3 linked regions of the Lonchura striata genome follow. The protein of the gene in region 2 interacts with the protein of the main gene of each other region in a biochemical or structural test. Links are inferred from orthologs where the notes say so. Each region holds a gene or a part of one and is shown on either strand. Other genes may lie near its edges. The genes, in order: BDNF, NTRK2 and PTPN1.

Evidence for each region.
Region 1: the proteins of NTRK2 (region 2) and BDNF form a complex in vitro, tested with the Homo sapiens proteins (3 studies listed by BioGRID). The link is inferred for Lonchura striata from reciprocal best matches to the Homo sapiens genes NTRK2 and BDNF.
Region 3: the proteins of NTRK2 (region 2) and PTPN1 form a complex in vitro, tested with the Homo sapiens proteins (2 studies listed by BioGRID, with this or other methods). The link is inferred for Lonchura striata from reciprocal best matches to the Homo sapiens genes NTRK2 and PTPN1.

The regions. Positions count from the first base shown.
Region 1 is NC_134608.1:62,120,209-62,130,859, reverse strand, and holds the start of BDNF (neurotrophic factor BDNF precursor form), read right to left. Parts: upstream 4,147-10,651; 5' UTR 4,100-4,146; intron 3,652-4,099; exon of another isoform or gene 3,617-3,651; intron 3,345-3,616; 5' UTR 3,145-3,344; coding exon 3,142-3,144; intron 2,445-3,141; exon of another isoform or gene 2,283-2,444; intron 1,535-2,282; exon of another isoform or gene 1,509-1,534; intron 1-1,508. UniProt on the Homo sapiens protein: Important signaling molecule that activates signaling cascades downstream of NTRK2. During development, promotes the survival and differentiation of selected neuronal populations of the peripheral and central nervous systems.
Region 2 is NC_134642.1:26,508,775-26,518,833, forward strand, and holds the start of NTRK2 (BDNF/NT-3 growth factors receptor), read left to right. Parts: upstream 1-5,910; 5' UTR 5,911-6,031; coding exon 6,032-6,240; intron 6,241-10,059. UniProt on the Homo sapiens protein: Receptor tyrosine kinase involved in the development and the maturation of the central and the peripheral nervous systems through regulation of neuron survival, proliferation, migration, differentiation, and synapse formation and plasticity.
Region 3 is NC_134619.1:1,086,870-1,097,522, reverse strand, and holds the start of PTPN1 (tyrosine-protein phosphatase non-receptor type 1), read right to left. Parts: upstream 3,976-10,653; 5' UTR 3,886-3,975; coding exon 3,823-3,885; intron 3,607-3,822; exon of another isoform or gene 2,314-3,606; coding exon of another isoform or gene 2,302-2,313; intron 1-2,301. UniProt on the Homo sapiens protein: Tyrosine-protein phosphatase which acts as a regulator of endoplasmic reticulum unfolded protein response. Mediates dephosphorylation of EIF2AK3/PERK; inactivating the protein kinase activity of EIF2AK3/PERK.

The sequences.
Region 1 (10,651 bases), on a different chromosome or scaffold from region 2:
GGGACCAAATATGGCCCATGTCATTTGTTAGCAGCCGTCCATCCCATGCATCTCTGCAGAGAATGATTAGAATTCCAGAGAAACATGGCAACAGAGGCAGAAAGGGAAATGCTGGAGTTTTTTAAAAGCTGGCAAGAAAGTAATGGGTGCAAACTTAAAATACAGGAAGATACACAAAATTATGCATGGAGTGGAAAATTCATATAACTAGAAGCTCCTTGACAACCTAGATAACAGAAAAATTTATTTTGGGAAGTGGATAGATTTTTAGTAGGGCTCATCAACCTCTAGTTCAGAGTGGATGCACTGAAATATTAGCTCTACCACATTACTTTTTCCTAGGTGAAAAAAGGTCAGAGGACGTTTCATTATGAATTTAATGAGACCAAATACTGCAAATCATGAGTGTTTGAGTGTCACCCAGCCTCCTGATGAAGGATGCTGCTGAGACCTGGCTCTGCTCTGGCTCCTCTCTCCTCGCCTCCACAGCTGCTAAGAACTGCCTCCTATGGCACCCTGACAGGTATCCCTAGCAAACGCAAGTTCTCCAGGTGGAAGTGGAAAAATCCACGGAGGGATGCCGCCCTCTCCCTCCTCCGGCCGGCCGGGGGAGGGGAAAGGAGGACGGCGCTAAGCCAAGGCCGCCGGTAGCGCATCTCCCGGGGCGGAGAGCGGCTGCTCCCCCTGCCCGATCGGAGCCCCGCAGCAGACACGGCTGCAGCAGAAGCGACAGATGACCGACTTCGGGGCGAGCCCCGCGCCCCTCCGCTGCCGTCCTGCGCCACCTCCATTTTGGCTGCGCCGGCGTCCGCTGCGGCTCCGGTGCTGCCGGCGGTGCCGTCCAGGGGCTGCCGCCGAGGAGCCGCTGCCGGGCCGCGGGGCGGAGGGGGCGGCATGCCCTATCTCCGCAGCACCGCGCCCCGTGTCCGCAGGACGGAGCCTCCCGGGGACAGGCGGTCGCCGTAGCAACCGCGGTGGGGAGGGGGAGCACGGGGGGACGCCGGCGGGGGTAGCCCGGCCCGGCGCGGCGGGCGCGGTGCCCTGCGCGGCGTCTCCGCCCTGCTGCGCGGTGGGGACACCGCCCCCTCCCCGCGGCGGGCCGGCCTCCCTCCCTCCCTCCCGCCTGCCGGGGGCTTCCCTGCCCGGCGGCGCTACGTGCGAGCCGAGCGGGAGGGAGCCCGGCGGGAGGCGGGGGCGGCGGGGCCCCGGGATCCGCCCTCCTCCCGGCGGGCTCGGCTCCGCAGCGGGACCGGCCGCGGGGCGCTGCCGCAGGGAGGGCCTGTGGCTCCGGGGCTGTGCCGGGGGGCTCGGCCGGCCGCCCTCAGCTCCGGCGGGCGGGGAGGAGAGGGCTTCCCGCGGCCGGGATTCCCCGGGCGGAGGAGCGCGGGCTGTCTGGAGCGGGGCGGCGGGCGCGGCGCGGCTCCGTGCTCCCTGTCCCCGCGGGGAGCGGGGGAGGGGGGGATGCACAGCCTCCGTGCGGAGCCGGAGAGACCCCTGAGCCTCTCTACCTGCGAGCGCTGCTGCTGCCGCCGCTGCTCCGCCAAACTGCTGACTTTCCAGAGCTTATTTTTAGCCCGGAGACTAAATATTATTAGCTACATTTCTACGTAGGAAGAATCGGAAGTGCGGGGAGGGGTGGGGGGAAGGCACTAGAGATAGGGAGGGAGATGAGCAGAAAGCTTATCCGAATGATCTCCAGTTGGGGGGGCTGCGTTTGGGTTTCAGGCTTGCCAAACGCGCACACACACACACACACACACACGCACACACACCATTAATTATAGCAAAGTAGATGCGGATATTGGATCATCAGGAATACATGCACGGCTCTCCCTTTGAGCCTTAGGTTGCGTATACAGAGGGGTCAGCTAATCTCCCTGTAGGTAAAGATCAGCTGCGTCCCTTTATCTGTGAAAGATCAGTCCTGCACATCAGTGCCAGCTAGAGCTCAGCTGCATCTCTTTAGCTATGCAAAATCAACTTGCATCCTTAGCCAGGAAGAAAAAAAAAAAAATCCGTCGCATCTGCTTCTCTTGGTAAAGATCAGTTGCATCTCTGCCCAAAGCATGCACATACACATAGACGAGATTCCCAGGTTAAATCAGGCACAACTTAAGTTAACTCGTAGTTAAATCTCATCCAGCTTTTCCTTCCTTCCTCACACACATCAAGCAGCAAGCAAGGTAACAAAACTAGGCGAAGAGCAGGCACCCATCCCCGCACCACAGAGAGGTAGAGGCAGGAGCCAGAGGGGCCGCCGGGGGTGTCCCCCCTCTGCTTACCTTGGTTACAGCTAACACCACGAGCAGTGGCTAGATCGCGGAGATAAATACTGGCATTTCCCAAAGTTGACACCGTCAAACCAACCCCCGGAGCTTGTAAGACTCTTTTTTTTTTTTTTTTTTTTTTTTTTTTTTTTTTTTATCCCTCCTCTCTTGTTCCTATTCCAGTCCGCACCGCTAGGAATTCAACTTAGCCCAGCTCCAGCGGGGCGAGAGGGCGGCGGGCGGGGAGGGGAGGGGAGTGGAAGCACCGGGGGTTGGCGGGGGAGGGAAGCCGGTACCCAGCGCCAGTGGCTCCCCGAGCCCGCCGGGTCGCGGAGCGATGCGGAGCGGTGCGGGGCCGCCTCCGCCGGCCCCCGCCGCCGCTGTCCAGGGTGCTGCCGCCGCCGCCTCCCCGCCCCGCTCCGCCGCCGCGCCCGCTGCGCGCCCGGGCCGCTCCTCGCCGCGGCCCCCCGCCTGTGACGTGCCGCTCCGCGCGGTTCCGCGCCCCCTCCGGGCAGCCCCGAGCCCCCGGCCCCCCCGACGGCAGGCGGCAGCGCCCGCCGGGGAGAGGCGAGCGCCGGCCACAGCCCGGCCGCCACAGCTCCAAGTTTCTCTCTCAGACGCGCCGTTTCCATCGCAGCCCTAAATCAAAGAGCGCCGCAATTAAAGTTACACGGTCTAAAACACAATTCTCCCGGCCTCCGCCGGTTACGCTCTTTGGCGTATTAAGTACTATAAAGCCGAGCCCGTGGTATCAGATGCTGTCGTTAAGCAACATCTCAAGCTTTTTGGTGTAGTTGTTTTGTTCTTCTCTCCAGGTATTAAAATAAGCTTTTTTTTTTTTTTTTTTTTTTTTTTTTTGCAGGTAGGTACTCACCATTGTTTCTTTGCTGTCCTGGAGACAGAAGTGGTTTAAAATCCAGTCTCTCCAACAGATGCTGGAAGGTAATGTGTCTTGTTTGAAGTCATCATGTGAGAACTTCTGCTTTGCTCAGTGGATCGCCCACCACTTGGTGTGACTTATGAATCTAATAACCCTTTGCAATATCCGCAAGCTTAAACTCTCCACCACCTTGGTGCCTACAGAAGACAGAAAGCAACTGGCAGGGAGTTTTAAAAACCTATAGATTTACGCAAACGCCTTAGCTCAGAGTCACGTTTCCCTCTGAGTTCTTACGTGATCTTAATGAATGAGAGGGGTTACCAACCAATACAGTATAAAACGTGATGGCAGCCGCCTCCCAGGAAATCGGAGCGGGACACTAAATTCCCGAGCGAAGTCCCGGCCGGCCGGGCGCGCTCCGCAGCGAGCGCTGACTCCCACCGCCCTCCTCCCACCTCCCGGCTCGCACCTGGGGCCGTGCAAGACGAGCCGGCTCCGGAGATTTATGTTCGGGACAGGTAAGTCGACATTTGGGGGGTTGCTTGTTTGTTTGTTTGTTTGAATGTCACGTTCACTGCGCTCTCACGGGAAGTGCTCCAGGGACTTGTTGCATACTAGGTCCTGCCACAAGAGGAGCGTGGCACAGCTGCCAAGACGAGTTCCTTTCCGAAACCCTCGCCCTTCCCGAGCTGCAACTTCCCGCACGCTTTTCCTCCCCCTCCTCCCTCCACCCTCGCTGGGAGGCGCATCCCGGGGGCGGGCTGCTCCGCCGGCCTGCACTGAGCCCCTGCCGCCGGCAAGGCAGAGGGGAGGGGAGCGCATCCCCGGTATCTGCCTTTCCTTTTCCTTCTCCCCTTTTCCCCTCGGGGCCCCAGCAGCACCCGGCTCCGCCCGTGATTTCTATCGCCAAGTCAATTCCGGTTCTGCTTGCGCTGGGAGAACGCCCGCGCACCTGGGCAGCCTCTTTCCCCGAGAGAGGTGGCCGAGCCCCAGGATTGCTCCTCCAAAGTCCTCGTCCCCAGTTTGTCTTGGCATCTCGGGTTTATTCTCAGTGGCTGCCCCGCCTCCCGGCTCCGAGAGCCCCGCGGGAGCGGTGCGGGAAGGGCTGTGGGAGGTGGCGCGGCGGGTTTCTTCGCCTTTGAAGGCGAATTGCTGTCAACTGAGCCTGGACTTGCCAAAGTTTATGGGTGCTGCCTCTCATAAGGAAAAAAAGAGAGCAAGACCGGGGAGCTCCTCGTCCACTCCCATTCTCTCCTGACTGAGTGCTGGAATTACATTCACGGGTCATTTATCTCCAAAGCGCCTGTTTCTCCCGCCCCCCGAGTCCCAGGTACCTCTGCCTGGGAGCCCAAGCAAGCAGCCTCTTCCATGACAACCGTCTATGTTGATCCATGCAATAACCAGCAGATGCTGCCCTAAGACTGGTACAGCTGGTACTTTCCTGCCTCGGCTGTCCTGGGGACAAGGTGTTAGAAGAAAAGTCAAGTGGTACCCAGCAAAGCTGCCCTGAGGAGAACCACGGAACCCCCTCACTGCATCACACGCTGCCTGTGTGCCATGTGCAGGCAGAGCCTGCCGGAAAGCCTGCTACTGATGTAACACTGCACCCGGCACATCATCCTCTCTCTGACACGGTGTCACCCGAGACACGTCCTCAAGTGCTCATCTTCAGTCAGGAAGCTGAAGTTTTCTTCCAACAGTTGGAAATACTCATAGCTAGTGTTAATACTGGTCGGGAATACAGTTTTTAGTGTCATTAAAGTTAAAAAAATCCAAAAACCTAAGTGTTTCAACAAGTGGACTTGCAATGAGTTCTGCTTTCTCCCATTCTTCTAAGCAGTTTGCTCCTGCCCCTTCCTCAGGGGAATAAAGTAATTTGGTAATATCTACTTTGAGTAGTTAAGCTGCACAATTCACGTTTTCATGACATAAACACATATCTAAATCTTAAAGGTTTCTGACCCTGTGGAGTCCTCGGTGTTTTATAGAGAGAACTTTACAACGATCCATTATGATTTAAAATGTATTTCTGCACACTTATTTTAGAGCTCAAGAAACATTGCCTTCATTGTGAAAGTAATTGCCACTGTAGCACTTGTAACAAAGTACTTAGCAGCACTGTTCGTCCCCTACTTGAAATTTCATTAACTTCTCGGTATCTTCATTTTCTGATGAAGGTCTCAGTTGTTAGAGACGCCCAGGAGAAACCTTTGGTGGGCCACAGTATCGTCTTGAGTAATAACGTTAAATTTACAACAAATCTGCAAAGCTTCCCAGGAGATCCACAGCAGGAAGCAGCATGGTGTCATTTCAGCCCTGTGCATATGCATTTTCTGCTGGAAACTGGTGGGATTTGCCAGCAGTGATAAGGTAGGGTGCTGCCTGGGAGAGCTTGTGTTTGCTCTGGAGACCTGTCGGGGTGCCATGTGAGATACAGCTATGAGCAAAGTTACTTCTTTGGACAGCTAACTAGAAGAGCTCCTGGTCAGCATTTCTGCTTGAGAATTGGACTCCACGCACCCACCCCCCTGGGGATATGTGACAACTGATTAACACAGATCATTCTCAATCGACCAAATTAAGCACACGTTTGCTGAAGAGATTGCTTTAGATAGCGTCAATGTAATTAATGGAATAAACAGGGCTGTAATCAAGGGAATGGTACAAAAGTGTGTGGGAAAATAAAAGGTCATTGGTAGGGTAATAGGAGATGCTATGGAGAATGGGAATTACCTGGCAGAAGAAGAGTAGGAGGAGGCAGTATAAAACAGAGTTCTTTCCTTGTAGTGGCTTTCACAGGTGAGAGAACAGCCCAAGTCACTTTGATGGGCCAGTGCTGAAACTGAGACACCAGTCAATGCACCAGTCACTCCTCTGTCAGCGTTTCCTGCAAGAAGGGCATTAGAAAGGGGATGGACTAGAATTAAACCTAAATGCCCGTTGAGTTTCTAGACATTTCCTTTCCGTATGTCTTGTTTCCAGCTAGGTTTTGTTTTGGTTTTTGTTTTGTTTTGTTTTTTTCTCTAGAAGATCTTACCCCCAGGCCATGGGAGACGCAGCCATGAAAAACCACTTGATGTGAGTTGGCGTGGAGGGTTTTTTCCCTTACTACCGTAGAGGGGCACAAGTGACTCAGTTACTCACCTGACAAGTCATACACCTCAGTAAAAACTGAAGCAGTGGGTAGAGTTTAGCCCATTATTTAAAACTAATAATCAGGTGGTCCGTTTACAGGCTGCTGAAATAGAATAGCTGTTAGCATTTGCCAGGATGACATGGCACAGCATTTGCTGCAAGCAGGTAGTTCATACATATAAGGCAATGTACATCTCTTGTTCCAAGTCTGTTTATCTTGGAATCACATTGTTACCAGATGAAGTATACAGCTGCAGGACCTGACTTCAGTGGGGACTACTCATACGTAAATAGTGACATAACTGTTTAGCAGATGAGGCCTAATTAAGAGGGAATCAGCCATACATTTTCCTTCTCTTAGACAAAACAATGTGAAGAATACTGCAGGAGCATTGCAAGAAAGTCACAGTGACTTAAATCAACCTGTGAAGCATCCCAAAATCCTGAGCAAGCTGCAAATGCTCTTTCCCTGCCTTAAAACACCTTAGAAAATGATGAGCTGGTTGGCTTTTTCACACAGTTGAAAGACTACCAAAATATGTGGATAACTGCTAAGCACCTAACTGCTAAGGTGCTAAAAGACACCCTCCATTCATTATGTACAGCTGCTCCTTCAGGGACCACCGAAAACCTGCTTCAGACACCAACATTAGCAATCTGAGCAGAATCAGATGATAGCAGTAGCTGTCAGCTTCACAGAGATGCTTCTGAAATAAGAGCTGTGTGACATCATCGCTGGTGTGAAACGGGGCTGCCAGCTTCTCTCCATGCCAGCAATCTAATGGTGTGTTTGCAGAAAAGGTCCCCCAGGGTTATGGTGTGCTAGTTTTGCTGGTAACCTCCTGCTTCTTCAACAGGCGGATTTGGCACCTGCCCTGCTACTGCCTGGAGGGTAAATACCAGCCTCCCATTAGGTATTTAGGGTAGTCTCCCATCAAGTGTTGATTTTCTGTGCCTGATTTCCTCCCCCTGTAGATTATCTTGCTCTGATATTTCTATCTTTCCCCTGATCTTCACGCTGCAAGTGTTAGCAGTCTTTCACTCTGCCTCCTCCCTCCCTGGAAGTTTTCCTTTCTTTCTGAGCCTACTTGTCTTCAAAGTGCGTATATTCCATGCTGGTAACATGCAGATGAACATCGTAGTCATGATCCCACTCAGATACTAAATAAGCCTCCCACCAATGCCTTGTCCTCCTTTAGAGTGCTGGAACATTTCAGCTTGCTTGCAGTCTCCTGCAAGTAGCAGGAAATCCTCTGGAGCAGACAGGCAGCAGCACATGTGCTTGTTGTGGTTGCACCTCTGAGAACGGCTGATCACCGACTCCTCTCCAAGTGTCTGCAGGGAAGGGAGGCTGAGATTCCCACAGGAATCCCACAGGTGGGCCCAGAACCTGGCCTCCAACCCACCTCAGCCCACAAGAGAAGGGCTTCAGTGTCACCATCAATGGGAGGTATTTTGCCACGTTGACTTCTTTTAAGATCACAAACTGTGCCAAGCTCATATTCACATTTGGTAAAATGAGGAGAGCTCAGTATGCTTAAGGAAAGCCAGCCCTGATACAAGCCAGGATTAATCAGGGTTTCCATCATTCACAGTGTCTGAAGCAAATACCTTGAGACAGATGCCTTGGCCAGCATAACTAATCTGTGGAGGCAGCAGCACAGGTTACAGTGGGACGACATGGATCAGGGCTGATAGGGGGTCTGTCAGCATTAAGTCAGCCACCAGCTTGCTGATCCTGGGGAAATCCTCTGTTCTGCACTTCCAGTTGTCCATAGGTACCTCCACATCCCTCTCACAGGGGAGTGGGACCGTAGCAGGACTTCAAGGACAGGTCTGAGAGTTTTGCATTAATTATTTCCTTGCCATCAACTTACAGTAAAAAAAACCACTATTGTAGTGAAGTTTTGTCTAAACTGTTTCTGTCATTTATGGAAAAGGTGTGTTTCAGTAAAACTTCTAGAATTAATTAATTTCTCAAACTACCACACATGCAAATGTAGTTCAGTACCTGTATGGCACTCAGGTTAGCTGGAAAAGACAGGAGATTAGATAAATGTAATGGAAACTATTGACCAATGTAAGTTCTCCTGCCTGACCTGAGCAAAATGAGATACTGGGTATCTCTTACTAGAAGAAAACCAGAGATAACGGAGAGAAATCAGAACCTGGAGAAAAAGAAACATGACAGCTGTAATCTGTTACTATTGCAACCTGAATATAGGATTCATTGCCAAGGTAGGGCACCCTTTCTTTTGGCATTGAAGTCTACACCTTGCTTCATGTAACCACAAGAAAACATCTCCAGGCATCAGCCTTTAAAAGAGATTCTTTCTTCAATCTTCTTTAAAGAGAAAATATACAGCGTGACTGTGAACAAAATAAGCTACATCCTTGCCTCATCATATTTTTAAATGCTGTTACATGCAGACCTGAGTTAGTAAAGAAAACCAGCACTCCCATACAGAAATACCCTCACACAACTATAGGGGATTAGCCTTAATTGTACTTACAGGTGAAAAGTAAACACATTCCTTAATTCCCTTCCAAAGTTAATGTTTATAAGGAAACTACCTTCCAAAACATATGAATCTACTTCTCAACAGTCAAATACCTTCTTAGCTTCCATGGGAGCTCACAGTCACAGCTCAGTGTTTGAACCCTGTGGAGCATGGTAGAAACATGTTATTGTTGAGATCAAAATATCTGTTGGAGGAACTACACATGGAGTTAGCAGAGAGTAAGAGGAGCTGGATGCTTGTCCTATAAGGGTTACTAAGGGATGCTGGCAAGCTCTGCATTCATATGATGAACTCTTTCAACTATAACTGCATTCTCTGCAAGGCCCCTGGGTGGAAGAGGAAGAGGGTGAGATGAAAATAGAAGAAGAGAGGAACAGGGCAATAGTGGTATGGGGTAAAAATGCTGAAGGAAAAGTAGAAATGCAGAGAAACTCTTCCAAGGCTACCACCGAACTGGGGGCATTTAGTGAAATAATAACCTCCATCCAGGCTCTTGCAACAAGTTAGCTAAAAATACCTCCTACCAGTTATGTATGAAATCGTCCTGTCTATTTTTATCTTGTAATTTTCAGACTAAAATGACAAATTCTCCCCTGAGATAGTATTCACAACAACCAGGAAACAGTGCTAATGTTGACCTAAATAAATAAAGCTGCTCCCATGTAAGAATTCCTGCAAGGATCCTTTAAAACAAGATACTTTGAAAACATTTGCTGCAAAACACATATGAAACCCTGGGGGACAAACAGCCTGCTAGACACTATTGTCTCACTATCCCAGTTTCCCAACAAGGCTGAGAGCTTTACAAATGCACCGCTAAAGAGGGCAGGGGTATTAGAGCAAGACTTCTGATGCCAAAACACAGGGTCCTGGATATTCCTTTCAGCTAGGGCACAAAGAAATTTTCAAAGACAAAGGTGTTATTTTGTGCAGTTGTATACATGTTTTTGAGCCTAGCTGCACAGGAAGCTTTAACTATGTCTTATGACAATTGACATGATGCTTTCTGTCTCAGGTGGTGCTATTACCCTATCTTAACTTTTTGATGGGGTCATTCATTACTGCTAAAGAGAGCAGTTGCACACTAAACCAAGCAGATCTCTTCAGTGCATTGTTGATTGAGATGAATTAGATCTGTTGTCCTTATTCAACCTGAAGCTGCACAGCTAAGATCTGTTTCCAAAACCAAACTTCACAAAGATAGGGGCAAGTCTAGATGAAAATTTTGTGGAGGTTTGTTTAGGATTTTGCGATAAACTCACCAAATGCAGCAGTGTTAGAGGGCGTTATTAAGAATATTATTGCTACTCTTAATTTGTATTTGCATCCCAGTTTGAAGATGAGTCTTTTCCACTGGCAGCCCACATACTGCTGCAGCATCCCTTGCTTTGCTCTACCTGATAATCTGTCAATAAGGTGGGCGATTAGGAAAACCTCTACTGTGCAGCAATTAGCAAATCTTCTGTTCCAGCAGAGATGAAAAAACTGACTTTTTTCCCCAAAACCTGAAACTAGAATGACCAAAAGGGGCCGTTATTTTCCTTTAGTGCCCCTTGTAATGCTGTCTATTTAGCTTAAAGATGTTCTGCATGGGCTCTAGGAGTCAGTGCCTTTCTTAACTGCAATGCACATGTGGAGACTTTGGATGCACAGATGTCATTATGAATTAATCCACTTCAGCCAAAAAAGGCCTCTTTACCTTTCACATCTCCACTGGAATCAAACCAGATAAAACCTATACATGTTCCTTTCCACTTTCTTCTCTGATGTGCTATCCTGTTCTAAATACTCATCATAGGAGTCCAAGTAACTTTTGTTTGTGACTTGGGGAACTTTACTGCATAAAT
Region 2 (10,059 bases):
ATGATCAGAGCAGCTGTAACTCAGTAACTTGTGCCAAATGAAGCTAGCCTGCAGTGTTCCAATAACTAAATTTTCAGAAGGCTGATGGTTTTGGATCTTTTTAATTAGTGTACTGGAGACTGGATTTTGGGGAGTCTTTCTTTGTCTTTTTTTTTCCCTTTATTTTATTTTACATTGACTACTCTAAAGGAAGGTTCAGAATCTCATTGGCTCAACATGGCCAAAAAATCCTTATAGTTTGGATAGCTTTTAAATGGGGAGAAAACCGACAACTAGCTCTCAGATTTTTATTATGTTGCTATTTGCCACCTGTTGAATCCTTATAATTGGAAAGAGAAGCATGATTTGCAAAACAGAATATGTATGTGCAAACAGACATATAGAGAGTCAGCTATCTGAGAAAGAAATGACTTCTATGAACTGAGAAAATCCATGCGCTTAATACAAACTTAACCTAAACAAACACTATTTGGAAATAACCCAACAAAACAGAACATCAGTGCTGGTCAGTTGCTTTGTGTTGCTGAAGTCTTACAGGTAGACACACCATTTATATTTGCTACCAGGCATCCAGTGCGGTTGCTTAGATAGCTGCAGAATCAACAAGCTGCTCTGTTTGTCTAGCTACGCAGAGACTCACAAGAGTGGTGGATAAGATAGGCTGATGCTGAGGCAGGAGCTCACAGTGACAAGATGCAGGGAAGGGAGTGGCAGTGTACAGAACAAGGCAGGGGTGAGGAGGAGGGAAGGTGCAATTAAGCGTGTGGTGGAGGAAGATACCTTTCCAAGTCTGTGTCAGTTCTACCACCTTTGGGATGATGTCTGCATTTACACATTACCAGAAAGGTATTGGTGGAATCATGTCAGACAGAAAAAAAGAATGTTTACTTGGACTTAAGCAGAAAAAGGACATCCATTGCTCCTTACAAGGATTACTTTTACCACCCCCTCTAAAAATACTCGTATTTTTTTATAAATGAGAAAGGTCTTTCCATCCAGTCTGTGATGTGATTTCTTATTGATGAAAAGAAAGTAATGGTGGTGTCATAGCAAATGTGACCAAGCATAACCAGAACACTGTGATTAATACTTTGAGCCATCAAACAGACAGAGGTTACAGGATGAGAAGCTGGATAAGTGTCTTAGTTGCATCAGGTTACGGAGGAGGCCACAGCTTCAAACCCCTGCAGAGAGATTGAAAGTGGCTCTCCATGGTGTGAACAGTGTCTCTAGGAGAGTGATTGTCCTTTTGAGAAGATCTCATGCAGACATCTCAGGCCATATCAAACTGGACCCAACCAATTAAATCTCCAGATCTTCAAATCCTTGTTTAATAGAAAAATGGTAGTTAATAAACTTTTCCTTCCCCTTTCCTCTTTTTTCTCTCCTTCCCAAAATAAAAAGTTGTGCTGATTTTCTTGAGCACAAGGTGGCAGGATTCAGCTTCACTTTAAAGCAAATGAAGGCTGAGTAGGGCTTCAAAGTGATAAGGTAAACACATTATTAGGAATGCAAAATCAGCCAGCATAAAGTAGCTAGATAAATCTGCAAATAGGTGGAATACTGGAAAGATTAAAATGTAAGCTAAAACACTCGGAGAGTGCCTCGTGTTTGGAGGAAATTCAGAAAAGTGTAGTATGGAAGCCAGATTTTGTCATTCAGGGAAAAGATGTGAGATCTTATGTTAGAGAAGCAGGTACACCTCAGTGTAAGCCCAAAAGATGCTGTCAAGCGGAGTTCACAAGCTTGCTCTGAGTCATGGTACAGAGTTGTATATGACCATAATTCTAGCTTGAACGCAAGAATACTTCATGTGAAAAGTTTCATGGGAATTGGGATATTTTGCTGGAAAACAAAATGTTTCTGATAAGATCATAAGGTCCCATGAACTGTCCAACCTCTCACTCTTGTAAGAGCTAAAAATTCTCAAACTGTAAGCAAAGTTTAAGCAGTTTATTTCTGCACAGTTTTGGTGAGACTAGTCTTTTGGTACACATTCCTTTGGATGGGATAAGGTACCATTGCACACACAAATTATGTAGCCTTTACCTGTTCCCAGACTCTGTGGTATAATTCCTTATTCCTCCACCTAAATAAAAGTACTCTCACAAGGAGTCTTTGAGTTTTCAGCTCCTACCTCTTTTACAAAATACATGTTTAAATTTTTACAGATATTTACTATACTTCCTGTGCTGTGACACATTCTTTATGTATGGTGTATGAGTTAGTTTCAAAACTTTTGAAGCAATCAAATGGTAAACTTTAGAACACAAATTTCAAGCAAACAGTGAGTTTTTCAGCATCTTCAGGTTTTCCTTGTAATATAGTCAGATGAATGTTCTCCCATAACTTTATCTATGTCAGTAAAAAAAAAAAAAAAAAAAAAAAAAGGCAAAGAAATGTGTATTGCAAACAACAGATTTTCTGGGAAGTCATTGATTTGCTCTCACCTAAGGCAAATCTCTTTACCAGCTTGGAAGAGGTTTACCTCATCTGCTCTGAGAAGGCTCTATTACTCAAGATTTGAGGGTTCTCTGAAGTGATCTATTTGCTGTTCTTAACTGTTCTTTTCAAAAGTTTTCATGATGCCAAACATGAATCTGCCTTGTTGTAAATCAAGTGTATTAATCCTTGTCCTATCCTATAGACAAAAAATATTACCTGTCCTTGTTACATATTTCAGGGCTGTTATTGAACTTTCTGTCAGACTTTCATGAACTGAAGAAAGTGAGTTCTTTCAATCTTGGCTCAATTCATATTTTCTAACCCTCTCACCACACTCTATAGCTTTGTAATATGTTTAACTCTTTGCCATAATTTTACCACCTTCAGGATGATATTTTGTCTTGTAGCATTACCAGAAAGCTACTTGTCTTTAGAGGTTTAGTTGTGGCTCTTCCTTAAATATTGATTCATATTGTGGCTCTTCCTTAAGTACTGATTAATAGGAAGTATTTGAGTATTTTATGTTCTTTTCTACTTTCTTGAATCTGAGAGAAAAATATGCACAGAAAACATCAAAATAAAACTTATCTATGTAGAAGCGAAGTCATGATTTACCACTGAACTTATTTGTACAGCCTTTCCCTTTAGTAATTCTAGAATTTAAAGACTCAAAGCAGGAGCTGTGCCTGTAGAAAGGGCTGCTGTTTTCCCTACTAAGCCAGCAATGGTATTTCTTGATAGAGTATTCCATAGCTTTCATTTTAACAATTTTGGTCACCTGAAAATATGACAATTTCAGTTTGCTTCTTCCCACATTCTCCCTCCCCCGTCAATTTTGGTCAAATACTAATTTTAGGGGGAAAATAGGTTTTTAACAGTAGTTGGCAATTTTACCATCATAGTTTCACACCTGATAATTTTTGGTATTATCATATAGAAATATATGCATCTCAAACCTTCTAAGACAAGATTACTGTACAGTTAGCAACACTCCTATAAGAAATATTTTGAATTGCAGCAGAGAAACTGATGTTTACCACAACAGGTGATAATACCCTTTTCCAAGTGTTGCCTCAAGCTTTATTTAACACTGGTCTGCAACCTTATGAATATATATGATCTGGCCTACAGAACTTTACTCTTTCAACACTATTGAATTGTTTAATTAGCCAATTTGATCCAATTGCATGGTTTTATCTAAAACTTCTTTGACAACGCCTCAATTTCACAGATTCACAGAAAACAGATGTTTGTGAAAGAATAATGTTCAGTATATGCTGATTAGTATATATGCTGATTCAGTATATATGATAAGATTAATGTGAGCTTGTTGTCATAGAATTGATAGGACAGTTAAAAAGGGTATTTATTGCCCCAATGAGGTGATATCCTTGTGTTCCTCCAGGAGAGAGAGGGGGAAATAAAGCACATTTTCCAAAACTGTAAGAAGACTTGGCTGGAGAGCAATAATACGGGTGTTGCAGCAACTTACAGGTTTAAAAATTTTACTTCTACCCTGCATTAAGGCTCTTTCTCAAGGTCTTTTCTGATTTGAATAGTATTGCAGTTTATGCTATTATTTTTTCTCTTTCCTTCACATTCTTTAAAAATTACCAACATTTTCCTCTAGAAAAATGCCACATGACATTTTAATTTTACTTGTTTTCCTTCCATAAATATTTTGTTTAGAGAAATACTTTACTTCAAAGTGCTGAACTTCATAGAGAGGCAGTATATTCTGAGTATACAACAATAAACTTCAGAACTTTGGTTAAAAAGTATCATGACTGACAATTTTTTTGATTATGGCTTTTTGTACTGTCTGCATTTGTTGCTTTATGGGGAGGTATATTATTTCTGTATAGAGTGCTTCAGCTAGGTATGTCTATGACTTTCTTATTAGGATGTTCTTTTAAAGCAAAATCTACACATGCTTGGCCTACAAAGCCACCTGGTAAAATGTGGCTTTTCCTGTTAGCCTGAGCAAATACAAATGGAATGGAGTGTGTTTTCAATTAGTGAATGTCATGTCAAATGGATTCCCAAGCACCTTCTAACAATGTATTAACTGTTCATTCTGTACCTTTGTAATAGGAATTCCGTAACCTTTTATTCTTTAATTTGCCCTGGTTTAGTAACTTCAAAACATTCAGCTTGGGTAACAAGGTAAGAAAGGACCATCAACATTTTTATACTTAATGGTGAAGTGATAAGTGAAGAACCTGTCGTCATAGATGTCATGTGCCAGGACAGAAGCACAGAATCTCAGAAACAGCAAGGGAAGATCAGCGGGTCTTTGCACCTGCGAATACGTGACACATGTATGTCATTCAGACCTGCCTCAGCCTCGATGTCGGGAAATGGTAACTACTTCTCGTGGTGTGTCGTGCGCCGTCCCACCCGGCGCCCGGGGGTCGGTGGGGCGGCGGGGGCTGCACGGCTCGCCGGGCCGGGCCGCGGTGCACGGCGGCGGCGGGGACGCGCGGTGGCGCCTGCGGAGCGCTCAGCGCGGGGCACTGCGGCGGGATCCGGTGCGCTGGCAGCGCTGCGGAGCCCGCAACCGGGGGTGGGGGCAGAGAAACGAAAACCAGCCCCGACCGCGGAGCTGTCAAGGGGAAAACAAGGCGTTTTATGGTCGCTCATTCGTCGTCTCCCGGAGTTCTCGCACCCCCGCTTATCACCCGATGGCCAGCTCCCGCCTTGGCGGGCATGCCAGGTGCCTCTCGGCACGGTGCCTCCGTCCGCCAGGCGAGGCACACTGTCCGCACAGGCGGCGACGCGCTGCCCATCCCGCAGCGTGCGTGTACGCCGGTATGAGTGTGTGTGTGTGTGTGTACATGTACATGTACGTGCGAGGCTGAAAGCTCAAGTGCAGGCTGCCTATTGGTATCTGCTCTTCGGCACCCTCCCTTTCCCCCGCTCCCTCCTCCTTCCTCCCTTGTTTTTTTTTTTTCATTTTTATTTCAGGCTCATTTTGTGGAGTTTCTGCCCCTCTCTGCGTCAGCCCCACGTCACTTTGCCGGCAGCTCCCCGTCTTGGGCTGAAGCAGGAGCCGGAGCTGCTTTATTATCAGCTGGAGGGAGGGAGGAGGAGACGGTGCATAAAGGGGCGAGCGCGGAGCTCTGAGCCCCGCCGCCGCCGCCGCCGCTCGCTGCGCCTCCGTCGCCGCCCGCTCGCCGTCCCTCCGGCGGTCAGCGGCCCCCGCAGATAGGAGCGCAGCCTCCGCCACCTGCCCCCTCCGCCCCGCGCGTTTTGCAGCATCATCGGCAGCAGCCGCGGGGGCAGGCGGCGCCGCTGTCCGCCCGCGGGGCTAGGGGCAGGTGCCGCGCCGGAGGCCCCGCTCGTCCCCGTCGCCGCGGCGCCCAGCACCGGCCCCCGCCGGCCCGCGCGGCGCCCGGGGCGGTCAGAGCCCTCAGCGGGGCGGTCAGAGCCCTCAGCGGGGCGGCGGAGGCTGCGGCTGCGGCGCGCCCATGTGAACCCGGCGTGCCCGCCCGCGGCGCGGAAGGCTGCGCACCCTCCGGCCGTGCGCCCGGCAGCGGCGGCGGCGGGAGCTGGAGGAGGCCGTCGGGGCAGTGCTGGAGTGAGCATGGTGTCCTGGCGGCGGAGGCCGGGTCCCGGCCTGGCGCAGCTGTGGGGCTTGTGCTGCCTGGTGCTGGGCTGCTGGCCGGCTGCGCTGGGCTGCCCCGCGTCCTGCGGGTGCAGCTCCTGGCGGATCTGGTGCACGGGATCGTCGCCCGGCATCGCTTCCTTTCCCGTGCCGCAGAGGAGCGCTGAGGGCGACAATGTTACCGAGATGTGAGTACGGCCCGGGGCCGGGCGCGGGGGCGACGGGCCGGAGCGGGCGGGGAAAGCCGCGGGCGGGGGCAGCGGGGAACTGACCCACGCCAGAGGCTTTTGCTCGGCGGGCGGATGTGGTGGCTGGAAGCCTAAAAGCCCCTTTTGATTTTATTTGGACGCGGCTTGCAAGAGCTGGCGCTGCCAGCCCGTTTTACATAATGAATCCGAATTGTTGGCGATGCAGGTCGCGGGGACCGGGGCGGGGGGTCGGCGCCGGCTGCCCGGGACCACGGGGCAGCCGGGGAGCGGGACGGGGCTGGGGCTTCGCCTCCGACCCTTGCCCCAGCTGCTGCCGCGGGTTGCGCACTGCACATCCGCACCTCTGCGGCGGCAGCAGGTATGAAACGGAGGGATTTTTCTATTTTTTTTTTAATTTACTTTTTTTTTTTTTTTACGTCTTTCATTCGCTGATCTTATCTCTGCGAACCGAGAGTGTTTGGTGGGTGGCTTGCCCTTCGCCCCAGATTTGTCCTGTTTTATTTCCGTAAAAAAAAAAAAAAAAAAAAGAAAAAAAAAAAGGGAAAAAAGTAAAGGAAGAGAGAGATGCGGCAGAAAGTGACAGCAAACTGGCTTTCGTACCCTAACCATAGGAATGCGAACCTGCTTTGACCTTCTCAGTGGAGGTGGCTGGAAGGAAAAAAACACAAAACCTGCAGAGGAATGAACGTAGTGCTGCTTATTAGCAATTGGGAAGGAATTAGAGAAACCTAACTGACCGTGAGGAAAAAAGTTTTTTTCCCTCTCATTCTCATGTGGTGCTTCCATCCACGTTGGCCTCGAAGACAGTATTTGATGAGGGAGTTCTGTACCTTTTTGTGTTAAATCCGGCATGGTTTCACAGTTCAGAGCACCAAAGCATTCATGTCCGTTGCCTAAGAAAATCTTTTGCAGAGCAAAAAATTTTGGATACTGGATGTGTAGATGATAGTGCTCAGGAAAAACCTTCTCAAGCTTTTTTGTTTATGTTTCCCTACCCCTGTTTTTCAATTGCTTTCTGTAGCATTTAATGTAAAAGATACCAGCATATTTTTCTCCAATCTATACAGATTTCTCACAATTTATATTCTCCATCCTTCTTCTGTTTTTCAGTGTCTTCTAGAAGAAATAGAAAAATACTATTGAAATACAGTTGGAGTTTAGATTAAATTCTAGCCTTTGGGCTACATTTTTGCAGTTCGTTGAAGTCAATTTGCTGCATTTCCCTGCATTTGCTTGGGGGGAAAGCTGGAGGCATTCATTTCTACTGCTCATGTATGGCCTACCTTTGGGAAATTTTTTAGGACCTGTGATACAGAAATGGTCTTTCTGAGTTATAACTGTTATTGATTCAGATGTTTCTGCAGATTGCTTAAATAGAAAAAAAAAATACCTTGAACTATGCATCTCTGATTATTTTTATAGGCTGTGGTAGCCTTTTTATGCAGTGCATTCTGTTTAGAAGTAACAGAGCAATTCTCATCTTGAATTTAATCTCTGGTTTGAAAGGCCAGAACAGAAAACACATATTGTAAATATGTTTTTTTCCATGATGAACTAAAATATGTCTAGTCTTTTTACATTGATGCTTTTGGTGTTAATTTTTCTGGGTTATTTTAAGCATCATTGTCTTTACAATGCTTTTTGGTTTTTACTGTATCATTCTGTGACATTGCACATTGTTTTGTTTGGTGATCTAAAAATAATTTTGAGTCATGGATTTCTCAGGAGATGCTGTTGCACATATTTAAGATGGTATTTTCTTGTGTGCTTTTAACATAAAACACAAGGACCCCTTAATTAGTTTATAGACAAATTAAAGATTGAACTGCAGTAGCTGTCATGTTATTTCATTGTGTGAAAGCACAGGAGCAGTTCTAATACAGTTGGTACAGATTGTCAACGTGTTTATAACACCACAGATCTTGCTTAATTCTAGCTAAGAAACAGGTTTAAGAGACTGGAGTGTTACATTTTACTTGTGTAGCTTCAGGCCTGGTTCTTCTTTTATGTTCTCTGCAGATACATTCCATTGGTCTCTGGTGGAATTACTCTTGGTATAAATAACATGTAAGAAGTATAAGACAGTTAATTTGAAGAATTTATTCACATGTATTTTATGAGTATCTATTGAAATCAATCCTTCACTTGTTAGTTATGTCCTGGTCTTGACAGGAGTGCATCCTGCAGTCCTAAGCAAAACATCCACAGGCACCCGGGGCGTGGGTCCTGATTGAGTTCTTTGCCACACATACTGGGAGCGCTGGATTAACTGCATGGTTGGGGTGTGTATGTGAAACCCATGGTGGTGCAGAGGATTGGCTATAGGCCAGGTGCATGGCATTGAGCAGGCAGGATGTGAGTGGGAAGCCAGGGTTTTCCACTTGGCTTTAAGAGATGGAAAAAGATGGGATGGTGCAGCAGGAATAACAGAGATGAGGTACCATGTATCTGGCAACCTCCACCACTTAAGACTCCGGTGCTTCACTGTTTTGGTCCACAGGTGGGTTGTGCTTTAGAGTTTATAAGCAGTCTCATCCAGTCCGGCTATTTCTTGATTCCTGCTCAGATTCAGCATCCAAAGCTATGTAGAGGGTACTTCTGCATCAGCCCTATGAAGGCCAGCTGCTGAAACTTGGTGTGGGAGGGCATAAGAGTATTTATGCCTGGTGCTTTCTTAGTCATCTCTCTCACTCTTTCCCTTCCTGGCTGTTTTTGCATAGTGTTCTACTACAGTAAATGAGACAGATTTTATATTTGCCTGGTTGGTTAAGATGATGGTGTGGGCTGGTCTTTATCTGGAAAACAAGTACTGGTGTTTATCATAACACACTGTACTTGTAATAATTGTTTGGTCACTTTGGTATTATTGGAGATAAACTGAACTCCAGAGTGAGATCCTGCATTAGGATAAATGGTATCAGTTATTGATACATTAAAAGCTAAGGACCAAGAGTGACAAAAGCAAAATTGCTTTATCAGTTTTGTAAAATCCATTCATTGTAGACACAATGGCAAATAAGCAGGCCTTGTTGAGATCACTCATGCAAAAATATTAATAGGATAGTAAATGAGAATTTTTTAGAGTGGTCAGGACTTCTGTAATATTTTCAGGACCACTGTAATATTTTCTCATTAAGGAAAATGTATTGCTGTTGTATCTCAGTGTACATGACTCTTCAAAGACTTTGATTTAAAAGTGCCATCTTGCAGTACAAGTATATTCCTGGCCTAGTTTCACAGTTCTGCTATCAAGTCATTAATATGTTTATTTATGATTATTCAGGTGGATGAGGTTTGAAATTAATTGGTGTTTTTCAGGAAGAACTGCTTGCCAACAAAATAGTAGGTGACTTTTAAGCTCTTGCTTATTAAAAGGGAGGTGATTGTGTATTGCGTACATTTCAAAACCACAAAATAAATTTCTAATGCAGTTATATAAAGCACTCTAGAATTGTTAATAAGTAAGACAGGATAAGTAATTTATAGAGTAAATTATTTAACAAGTCATGTGAGCTTGTGCTAAAAAAAAAGAGCATGTTTAAATTCATTGAAGCTAAGAGCTGTTGGTATTTTGAGTAGTTTTTATCCTAGATTTTGAGACTGTTGTAGATTTAATGTCACATAAAACTGTCTATGAGGCTCCTCAGCCTCTAGCCCCTTCCTCCTCAAAGCAACTTCTGTACATCATTGCATGACTTGGCTGGATTGAGAAGTTATTTCTGGTGACTTGGAATTGTATAATAAAACATGAGACACTAGGCTACAAATTATTAAAGGAGTTTTGGACAGTGGGTGACA
Region 3 (10,653 bases), on a different chromosome or scaffold from region 2:
CACTAACCCTGCACACACGCAGCAAGACTCAGCGTACAGCACAGGAAAACATGGAATATCTTCAGCTTACCGAAGGAACAGAGACTCCCTGCAACCCTGAGCCCTAAACCAGCTTTCTACAGCCAGAGCCAATTATGCTGAGCCTCAAATGAATCAACAGAGCACAAATTAAGCAGTGGCAAGGCACTGCATGCAGAGACCTGCAGCTAGAACTGGCAGAATAAAGCACAAAGATGCATTTATAAAAAGTCATGTTCGTGCCACAATTTATCTGCTGCTTAGCACCTGAGCAAAGGAGCTACCCAAATGCTTTCAGACTGCAGCCTGCACTCCTGCTGCAGCTTATAAACCAACAACACTTCTAAAGCTTCCCTTCCACTGACCCTAAACACACAACACAACCACACTGTTACAATTCTTCAGGGTCAACCATTTCACAGTTTACTTCCAGCATCAAAATCCATCTACGTAAGAAAATATTCTATAAATATTCTTCCAGAGACAGTGAGTATCTAAAAAGCTTCCCATGCCTTTTATGTTGTGACAGAGGGATATCCAAAATATCCACGATCCCTATCTTCCTCCCATAGTCTGAATAAAGTTCATTAATTTTCAAAATCTGTAGTATTTTAATTTAGCTTAGAGAGGTTTGAAGCATTCAAACATTCAAGTTAATATTTGGTTAAAAGACCTTAAAAAATGAATAAAGAAACTGAGAACAGTTATTTACAGGCCTCAAACCCAACTCCAACTACACTTCAGTTTTCCAGAGATAGGTTTTGGAAGGATACTCACTTCCAAACATGCTGGAAAATCTAAACTATATCCAGTTCTTATTATATATTCCACTAACTATACAAACTAGAAAAGAATGTACATTTTATTTTCATTTTGCTGCCTTCACATGGAAAACTCTGCATGAGCAGTCCCCAAATGTCAGCTCTGCCTCCACCCATAGTGGATGGAATCACCAGTTGAATGGTACATCAGTAAATAATTCAGAGGTGTTTTTACTGCTCCTGATAAGCACATCAAAGTTAATATCATTGGCCAACATACTAAAGTCAACATATCTGGTTTCTTTAAACACAAGAAGCAACTCTATCTGTATTTAAGGGATGTGTTTTTAAGATAATATCTCGTTCTATCATCCTGTGTAAGAAATTAGAAACTAAAGCATCTTCTAAAGTTCTGAAAGGCTTCTGCATGTGAAATTACTATGAAAATCTGATACTGCGCTCACTGTGAGCAAATGACAATCCAGTCATTGTTGTTTTCATGATATCCATCCAGTTGTTTTGATATTCTGGACAAATATCTACTTTTCTTTCCTCCTCTAAGAGCTTAAACTGTGCTTTCCTTAGCTTTGGGGTACGGGTTTTTTGTTGTGACATCTCCGGAGTGAAAGCTTCTCATTCCAATAGATACTTCTAATGGTATTTCTGCAGGGTGCATGTCATTCACTTACCCTTAAGAATCTGTTTTCTGTTGCACACCTTTACCACAGTTAGTACATGGTAAAGCTCACTTTCCTCTTATGGTTTTATGGAAGAGGATTTTAATTCGAATGCGCCTTTCTTACACTTAGGTTTCTCTAAAACAGAAACAACAGCCAGAACCTTAGCAATTATTTTTCTCACTTGGGTCCCTGAACAGCCTCCACAGAATCTTATGGCTCGTAGTTCTTTTAACAAGCAAATCTAGAGGAAAGTATGGGATAGAAATAGGTATTAAAAACCAAACAAACATTCAAAAAAACCCTAGAGTAACAAAACGCAAAGAACTTCATCACTGTTCACCCTGTGACCAGCTGTACAGAGAATGGTTCCACCATTGTGCAGTGCCCAAGACTTGATCGTCACAAAATCACCTAAACAAGGTCTTCATTTTGAAGCGTTTGTGTCTCCCCATGCTGGGATTACTTCTGCTGAAAAAAGGAGATCATCTAAATTCTGTTCTTTCCCAACTGTACTATCATAGCTGAACACAGCTTCCGCTCCTTGAAAAAAAAGACGCATGGACAATTTTAACCCTTCCAGGTCATGTGGCACCCAGGCAGTCTCCCTTCCCTTAGCCACACCTCCCTGTCTAGGCTCATTCCTCCTGGAGCCGCTGTGCTGTATCTCCAGATAACAGACAGGCAAGGAACACGGGCAAGCTGCAAATGTTCACCTGCAGCACTGGGGAATGTTTCTGGGTTCCAGCAGTTACAACCCCAACGCTGAGGTACCAGAAGGCCGTGGTACAATTACCCCGGGGGAAATGCTTTTCTGCACCCATCACACACACTGCTCTACTTACTGCATTCTTCATGCAAAAGCCAGCATTGTAGGAAAACTGCTTTGCTAATGTCACAGCCCAGACACGAAAAGCACAGCTCACGGAGAAGCACCTTCTTCTTCCAGATGTACACGACCTGCCAAGATGCCATTTCCAGCAGCTTATTTAAAAGCAGGATGCAGTTGAGAAACTGAATTTCATGACATAGATGCACATATTTACTAATCAATCAGGGGAAAAAAAAAAAACAAGTAGAAATCCCACCCCCTGTGCTTGTCAATAGTTGGATGCAAACCAAAGAATCACTTCAGTCCTTTTTTAAACTGAATTTTAGTCCTCAATCAAAGCTCATGCTGTGCTACAGTTTGAGCAGGCCACTGAGTCATATCATTCAAAGAGAGCAGGACAAAAATATCACTGAATGCTAATCCCTCATTGAAAATGGGCCATTCCCTCATTCGACGTAGATATTTCACTTCTGTAATTCAATTGTACCTGTAGAAATGTACTACTTAAATTACAAAGCTCTGTTACTCAAAATCATTTCCTGAGCACTAAGCTCGCAACACACCAAATCATCCAGAACGGTTCAGCAAAAACATAACGTCATATATCCACATGACTTTCAACTGATACAGTCGGCAAGCACTGACACTCGGCAGGGAAATGTAGGAAATGGACCTTCTGAAAAGCAGGCTCAACATGTCATGCTTATTCTCTAAAGGCCAGACAACTCAAGATGTTCACCCTGCAAGCTACTGCTGTTACAACTTGCATGCTACTATTCTGAAACTGAAGTCCTTTTATTTCACTTTTATGCAACTCCTCTCCATGGTCTATTGCCAGAGAAATTCACACTGAAAGAAACAAAGCTCAACATCTATGTTGCAAACATGAACTTCAAGTCATTCATTTATGCAATATACCAGCTTAAACATTCAAATGGATGTTACAGCAATGCTGCCTGATCTGACTGAACACATCCGCCCAGTCATTCACGTATTTCAGCTTCTCTTAAACTTCATTTTAGATAAAGGTGTGAAGAACTTTTAAAGACAAAAGCACCAACTTCTGTGGCTTGTATGCTCAGCTGGATCCAGAAGCCAAATATTACTGCAAGCGTTAACGTTTGTCACGGCGCTGTTTTAAATACCCCCGAAAAAAATCTAAACGCAGCAAGCGACACAATAAAAACCCACCAGCAGCTAGCTGCAGGAGTATTGCTAATAAGCTGCTGCAGGCTCTGTTCTATGATTAAGGCGCCTGAAAAGCGAAATGCTGCTGTGCTCCGAGCCGAAGGCAGCTCGGAGGGGCGGCCGGAGCGGCTCCTCCGCTGTCCCCGCGCTGAGGATGCGCCCGCGGCGGCAGCTCCGGGCGGGCAGCGCGGCGGGGCCCGGCCCGCCGGGGAGCCGGGCAGGGCAGGGCAGTGCCGGGGCAGCACCGGCGGCACGGCGGAGAGAACGAGCGGCAGGCAGCGAGCGGAGGCAGGCAGCGCTCCCCACCCGCGGCCGGGGCAGAACCGGGCAGGGCGCTGCCCCTCACCTGGTAGATGGCGGGCCAGCTGGCGGCCTGGTCCAGCCGCTGGAACTCCTTCTCCATCTCCATCTCCACCCCGAGGGGGCCCGGGCCCCCCAGCGCCGCTCCGGCTGCAGCTGCTGCCGAGGCCGCGGCGGCTCTGCCCGGCCCCCGCCCTCACGGTGCCGCCGGAACTGCGCACCCGCCCCGCCGACGCCATGTCCGGGGCGGTGGGACCCGGGCCCGGGCAGGGCACGGCGGAGCTCGGGCGGGCACGGACGTGCCCGCCCGGGCTCCGCCGTGCCCTGCCCGGGCCCCTCCGTGCCCCTCCGTGCCCCGCCGTGCCCGCCCGGGAAGGGAAATTAAGCTTAGTGGGCTCTGGGAGATACATCCTTGGAAAGTGTAGGCCGTGTGCTTGCTAGAAGCGCAGCTGTGCGGCTAAGTGATAGAATTGTTAGACGTGATGGTTGTTTAGTAGGTAAATATAATTGCTGTTTAGTCGTAAGAATAATCATGAGAGGCTGTGGTCAAGGGGTTGAGAAGGGTGGCGAGAAGCTCATGGCCAGCACACACCTGAGGGACCTCGGGCAATGTGTACAATGGTCTCGTTCAGCGTGGGAGCAGCAGCAGCTGTGAGGGGCTGGGGTCACCTCAGTGTCCAGGAGCGGGACAGGAGCCGGGCAGTGTCCCCCGGCAGTGGGGACAGCCTGGCAGCGGGGACACCGGGCAGAAGGATTCGGCTGGGACACACCTGCACAGGGCAGGTGAGCAGAGATGAGAGTGAGGACAAGGAGATGCGACAATCAGAAGCCAGACGGGGACTCAATGCCAGGCTCAGCGAGCCACGTCACAACCGCGGTACCTCAGGTGTGTGAGGGCTGAGAACTTACACAGGAGTGTGAGGGCTGAGGGGTCCCTCAGGTGTGTGAGGGCTGAGAACTTACACAGGTGTGTGAGGGCTGAGGGGCCCCTCAGGTGTGTGAGGGCTGAGAACTTACACAGGTGTGTGAGGGCTGAGGGGTCTCTCAGGTGTGTGAGGGCTGAGAACTTACACAGGAGTGTGAGGGCTGAGGGGTCCCTCAGGTGTGTGAGGGCTGAGGGGTCTCTCAGGTTTGTGAGGGCTGAGAACTTACACAGGTCTGTGAGGGCTGAGAACTTACACAGGTGTGTGAGGGCTGAGGGGCCCCTCAGGTGTGTGATGGCCAGGATCACCACAGGTGTGTGAGGGCCGGGGTCTCTCAGGTGTGTTTGGGCTGGGGTCTCAGGTGTGTGATGCCCGGGGTCCCTCAGGTAATGTTCAGGCCGGGGTCCCCTTTCCCTGGCCCGCAGCCGCGGCTGTCCCGGAGGAGCTCCGGAGGAGCCCGGCAGAGCCCGGTGCAGAGCCCATTCCATCAGGGCAGTCCCGGCAGAGCCCCGGAGATGCCCGGCAGAGCCCGGTGCAGAGCCCGGTGCAGCAGCGCAGAGCCCGGCAGAGCCCCGGAGGAGCCCGGCAGAGCCCGGTGCAGCAGCGAGCCCCGGCAGAGCCCGGTGCAGCAGCGCAGAGCCCGGCAGAGCCCCGGAGGAGCCCGGCAGAGCCCGGTGCAGCAGCGAGCCCCGGCAGAGCCCGGTGCAGCAGCGCAGCCCGCAGCGGGCAGGAGCCGCTGGGTGTCACTGCTCCATCGGGAGTGCTGGAACCCAGCCCCGCTCGCCGCCCGCGCCTCCTCCCGCAGCAGCAGCGCCGGAGGCAGGGCACAGCTCCTCCTGCGAGTTCTTACTCTAGTTCTTCCCATTCCTCCTCGTAAAGATGTACTTTTCCGCTGGCCGAGTATTTCCGTCTAAAATTGCAGGGAAAATTGGCCCTGGCATAGTTTGGCTTTTCTGTAAGGTTTCTTTGGTGGCTTCTGAACTATTTCCTGCTTAGTAGGAAGCCGTACAAATGATATACAAATAGTATAAATTAGTATAAAAATGTATATAACTTTGTAGTATAAATTATTATACAATAATATATATTATACTGTATAAATAATATAATATTACACAGTATAAATTATTATAAGATTTTTTAAAAATAAACATCTTACAATAAAATTTATTGATGGTTGGGATAGACTAGGAAAGGTGGTAGGAATGTCTGGATTGGAATTGTTACAGGAAGGTCTGTTTTCATTAAATTTTCAGTCCTGGCTTGCAATGGATAAAGGGTAAATTAATCTCTGGATTTATAACTTCAGCTGAAGCCAGAGGGGATTTACACAAGTGCTGAATTGGACTCAACTGGCTCCACGCTTTTGGATACATGTGCCAGGGATACCTGTCCCAGTAGAGCTTAAGGTCTGAAATACATTCCAGCCAAGAATATGAGCTGAAAATGGCCACTTGGATCAGACATCTGTGCCCTACAAACTTGTTCACCCTTTAATACATATTTAATCCTCAAATTGTGCCTCCGCACATATGCAGAGCAGCAAAAAATTTCCTAAGAGCCTTTATGAAATTTATGATCTACCTTACAAAATACTAAAAGTTGCAAAATCTGCGAAGGATTGCAGGAAATAAAACACAGAAGAGATTAAAAGTCTTACTGGTAACTCAGATCCATATAATAATGGAGGATTAGGTAAATGAAAATGTTCTGTGCTCTCAGGACACAACCCTTCTTGCACTTTGCACAGAGAAAGGCAGTCCCTTCCCAAAACAATTCCAACCTGTGCAACTTAAGGCACACTGTATTTTCATCCCAGTGTAGCCTGATTCAGAGGTTTTGGTTTTCAAATTGTCCACTAGAGCCTGGCTCTTAAAATGACAATGAGAATTCAGGGGAAAGGGTTGGATCGTGTTACTTATTTCTACTTCATAAAAAAGGCGGGTGCTTGTCCAAACTCAATCCTACATTTCATATCCTCTCTTCATCCTCCACAGCTCAGAGGATCTTGATGGAGAAAGCTGGGAATACACAAATACACGAACTGCACTGTGGAGTGGCAGGGTGTGCCAGCCCCAGGGCTCGCTGCTCTGGCAGCTGCCAGGCTTTAGCTTTTGTGAAACAGAAGTTCTGGATGGGATGGGATGGGATGGGATGGGATGGGATGGGATGGGATGGGATGGGATGGGATGGGATGGGATGGGATGGGATGGGATGGGATGGGATGGAACTTGAGTGCTGCAAACAAGACTAGAATACCAAAAACTCTGCTTACTGCCTCTGTTAAAGGAAAATAACTTCTGTGTGTGTGTGTGCCTGGGCAGCTTCTGCTGGTTCAGATCTTTCAGAGCCTCCGTGGGTTTTACAGGGCGTTTCATACCCTGCTGTGGCAGGAGCAGGTGGAGGCAGAGATCTTTAATCAGCTGTTAGTGACTATATCTCACCGTTGGATGGCACTCCAGCCCTTACTGCTCGTTGCCATCACAGCCTGGATTTCACTCGTACACAGGATTTTTAAGTCAAGTAGTAACGATTAGGAAGACTTTTTTTATTACTAATGTGATAATAGAGTAAAATTACACTTGCAGAGCTGGCTTTAGTTTCACAGCATTAGGCTTTGAGAGGTCTATGTTGAAATCTTGCCAGATTGTTTAGTTTTTTAAATAAAGATTTCCAAATGCAGTTGGGACTCAGGGGTGATGGACTCTCTAGTGTCAGGAGAGATGTGTGTATGTTTATGATTGTAAGGTAATTTATCCCCAGGCTTTCAGTCACTGTTTTATCCTTTATGTAGTGTTTTAGATTAATGGGAGAATGTTTTCAGCAACCTTTTCCTTAAGTGATCCTTTTTCCTTGCAGCAGATGCAGCATCCCTGAGTCTGGAATCACTTCCACCCGTGCTTCCCCGGGCTGCAGAACGGTGAGTGCTCCAGTCTGCACATCTCTAGTCTGGCAAGCAGAAATATTTTTTCCCTCACATTGAAGATGTTCAATGTCTGCATTTCATTCAAAGTTGTGGCTGCTGGTTTTACAAATGCAGGGAGCATTAGCTCAAATGTGGTTACTGACACAGCAAAGGTTTCCTGCTGAGACAGTAGTGTCCTTGGTGTCACTGCAGATTTGCCTGGGATTCCTGCAGGGTTTTGCAGTCTGCCCCGAGTTCCTTGCTGCCAGCAGCCTTAGCTTGGAGCAAAGGGAGTTTATTTATGATTTTCTGACTGCCCTTGAGGTGGGTATCCAAGGCAAAGTGTGTGGCAGCAGCAGCGACCGAGCCTCCCCTCCTTTGGCACCCGCTGCTGGTTTCTGTGGCATCCCACCCCTGCAGTTCTGCCAGCCCCAGTGTTCATGCAGCTGCACTTGGGAATGGAGGTGGGAACACAGCTACTTCAAAAAATACCAATCCCCCCAAAAACACCACCACCACCACCAAAAACCACACCCCACAAAAAATACTTTTCTTCTGGATTAGCTTTAGGCATGACTAGGTCTCTAGTACAGTAAACCACATTGGCACATAAACAATATTTCCAGAACTACAGAACACGTTGATGCTGGGGCAGGAGGAGAAAAGAAGATAAATATCAGTACCATAAACCAGTATTACCACTCAAGACTCCATCCTGAGACACCCCAGCTAATTCTATAATTTCAGTGATCCATGGTGTTCTAAAATTTGTTGTTATTTGTAGTAGTAGTAATTACAGCAGTAATAACAGCAGTAATAACAACTATTATTATTATTATTATTATTATTATTATTATTACTATTATCTTTGTGACAAAATGCATGCCAGCCATAAGTAAGACTGTAGTTACAACAAATATCTTGTGTGGAAAGAACAGCCTGAATTCCTTTTTGTCTAGGAAGAGAACAAAAGCCTTCTCATTTCAGGTAAGCCTTTAAGATAAAAAAATAGGAAAATAAAATCTTATCTATTTTAATCAGTATTTCCTTGAAACAAGTGTGACTATTTTCATATTGTCCTCTAAAGAACAGTTCTTTCTGGAGGCACATCTTAGAGCTTTTAGAGTGTGAGAGTTTTCTCACTCTTTATTTATTTTCTGTAATGGAAGAGGAGCTCAGATCAACTCCCTTTTGCTGAGTCCGAGGGGCTCAATAAAACTGCTTGGGAAACCAGCACCGGATTTGGGATGGCAGCAGGGAGATTTACACTTTGTGTTTCCCCAGCACTGCACATAAACAAGTATCTTTCAGCTGGAACATTTTTTACAAGTGAGATACAGTAAAAAAGTCTGGCCCAATTTGAAAAGTAAATGAGACAGAAAAATCCTTCTGCAGGGCAAAGCAACCTCGATGCATGGCTGGCCTTGGTGACCCCCTGCCAGGAGAAGAGGGACCTAGGAACGTTTCTTCTAATGGGTTATCTGAATCTTATCTGCTCAAACACTTCAGAGTTCAGGAAAAGCAGCCAAAGTCAATTTCTGCTTAGAGTGTTTAAAACAAAAAATAAACAGAAGGGAGAAGTTGTGCGTGTGCAGGAGGAGGCGTTGCGCTGGAGAACGGGCAGGGTGGTGGGACTGGGGAGGGAATGGTTTCACCCACACTGGCTCTTCTGAAATCCGCTTGCATCTATCCATGTTTTCGCAAATGAAAACGAAATTGCACAATCCATAATTGTGGTGATGGAGGGCTGCTGGTGCTCTCTCTGACCTGCCAGGTAGGTGAAACAATTGTCAGTGTAAATTAGAGAACAGCTGTATCGTTATTCAGTGACAGTTACCTGGTTCTGCAAAGCCTGGAAAATGCCTTCAGAGGCAGAGTTTTCAGGTCTTTGTTAATATTTTAAAGCGCTAAAAAAAAACCCAAACCAAACCCCTTCTCAGTGTGCACTGGCTGATGATTGAGATGAGTTATCTGCTCTGTGCCTCCAGCCTCCCGCCTGAACCAGCTGTTCTCAGCCCAGACATCAAGCTCCCTTAACGCTGAACGGAAATGGAAATGGCTGTACTTCACCTGTAATTTCTCCTTCAGCCTGTTGATACCTTATCTATTGACTGTAAGGGCTTTGCTAACCTGTCACCTCTGGCTTTCAGAGCTGCTCTGTTCCAAAGGAAGCTCCAAGAATTGTTGTGCCAGTTCAGTGTCTGTAAAAATCTGTTACTTTCTCTGTCTGTGGCATCAGGCACACTACGTATGAATCCTCTCTGAGTGCCTGTGATATGGAATTGAATCACAAGCTTTTCTTTACAAAGAAAACCCTTCCAACAGGAATGAATCTCTCTTTTGTAGCTGATAAAATAGGAGAAAATTTAACCAAAGCAATTTATTCTGGTTCATATGAAAAATGTTGTCAGTGAAAACATGGAACTCTTACAAAATATCAACATTTCACTCCTATCTGCATGTAGATCAATATGAATGGGTCACAGTGACCTCTCAGGGAGCAGGTGTGCATGGCAACCAAAACTAATATGTATTTTAAGGACTAAGGTCCTTAAAAAAACAGAAACCACCTTTATCCACAGAGGATCTGTTCCCAACAAGATAATTTCTGTACTGTTTTACAGTTGGTTTCAGGGAAATTTTAGCTTTTCAGTTGTTGGGTTTTTTCACACAAGGAACTTTTAAAAAGAAACAAGGGACTTCATTTCTGCTACAGCAAAGCATTTTCAATGCTTTCAATTAGAACATGTTGTTTTATGAAGTGAAAAATTTCTGCTTCCAGAGCATAGTTTGGAGTGCAGGAAAGGGCGGTGTTTTCACAGGAAATTGCCAATTTTCAGTGAAGCAGCATCTCTGAAATTCATTCCACCATGTAACACTTCAGTGAATCACAATAGTCTGGAGTTCAAGGTTTAGTTTCCTTATCTGAAATAGAAATATGTAGCTGAGCTTAGAAGAGCAGGGATTGAGCACTGCTTGGGAATGTTTTAGCAAAGCATCCTTTGTCTAAAAATGCTGTTTCTGGAAGAGAAAACACTTGTGGGCTTTT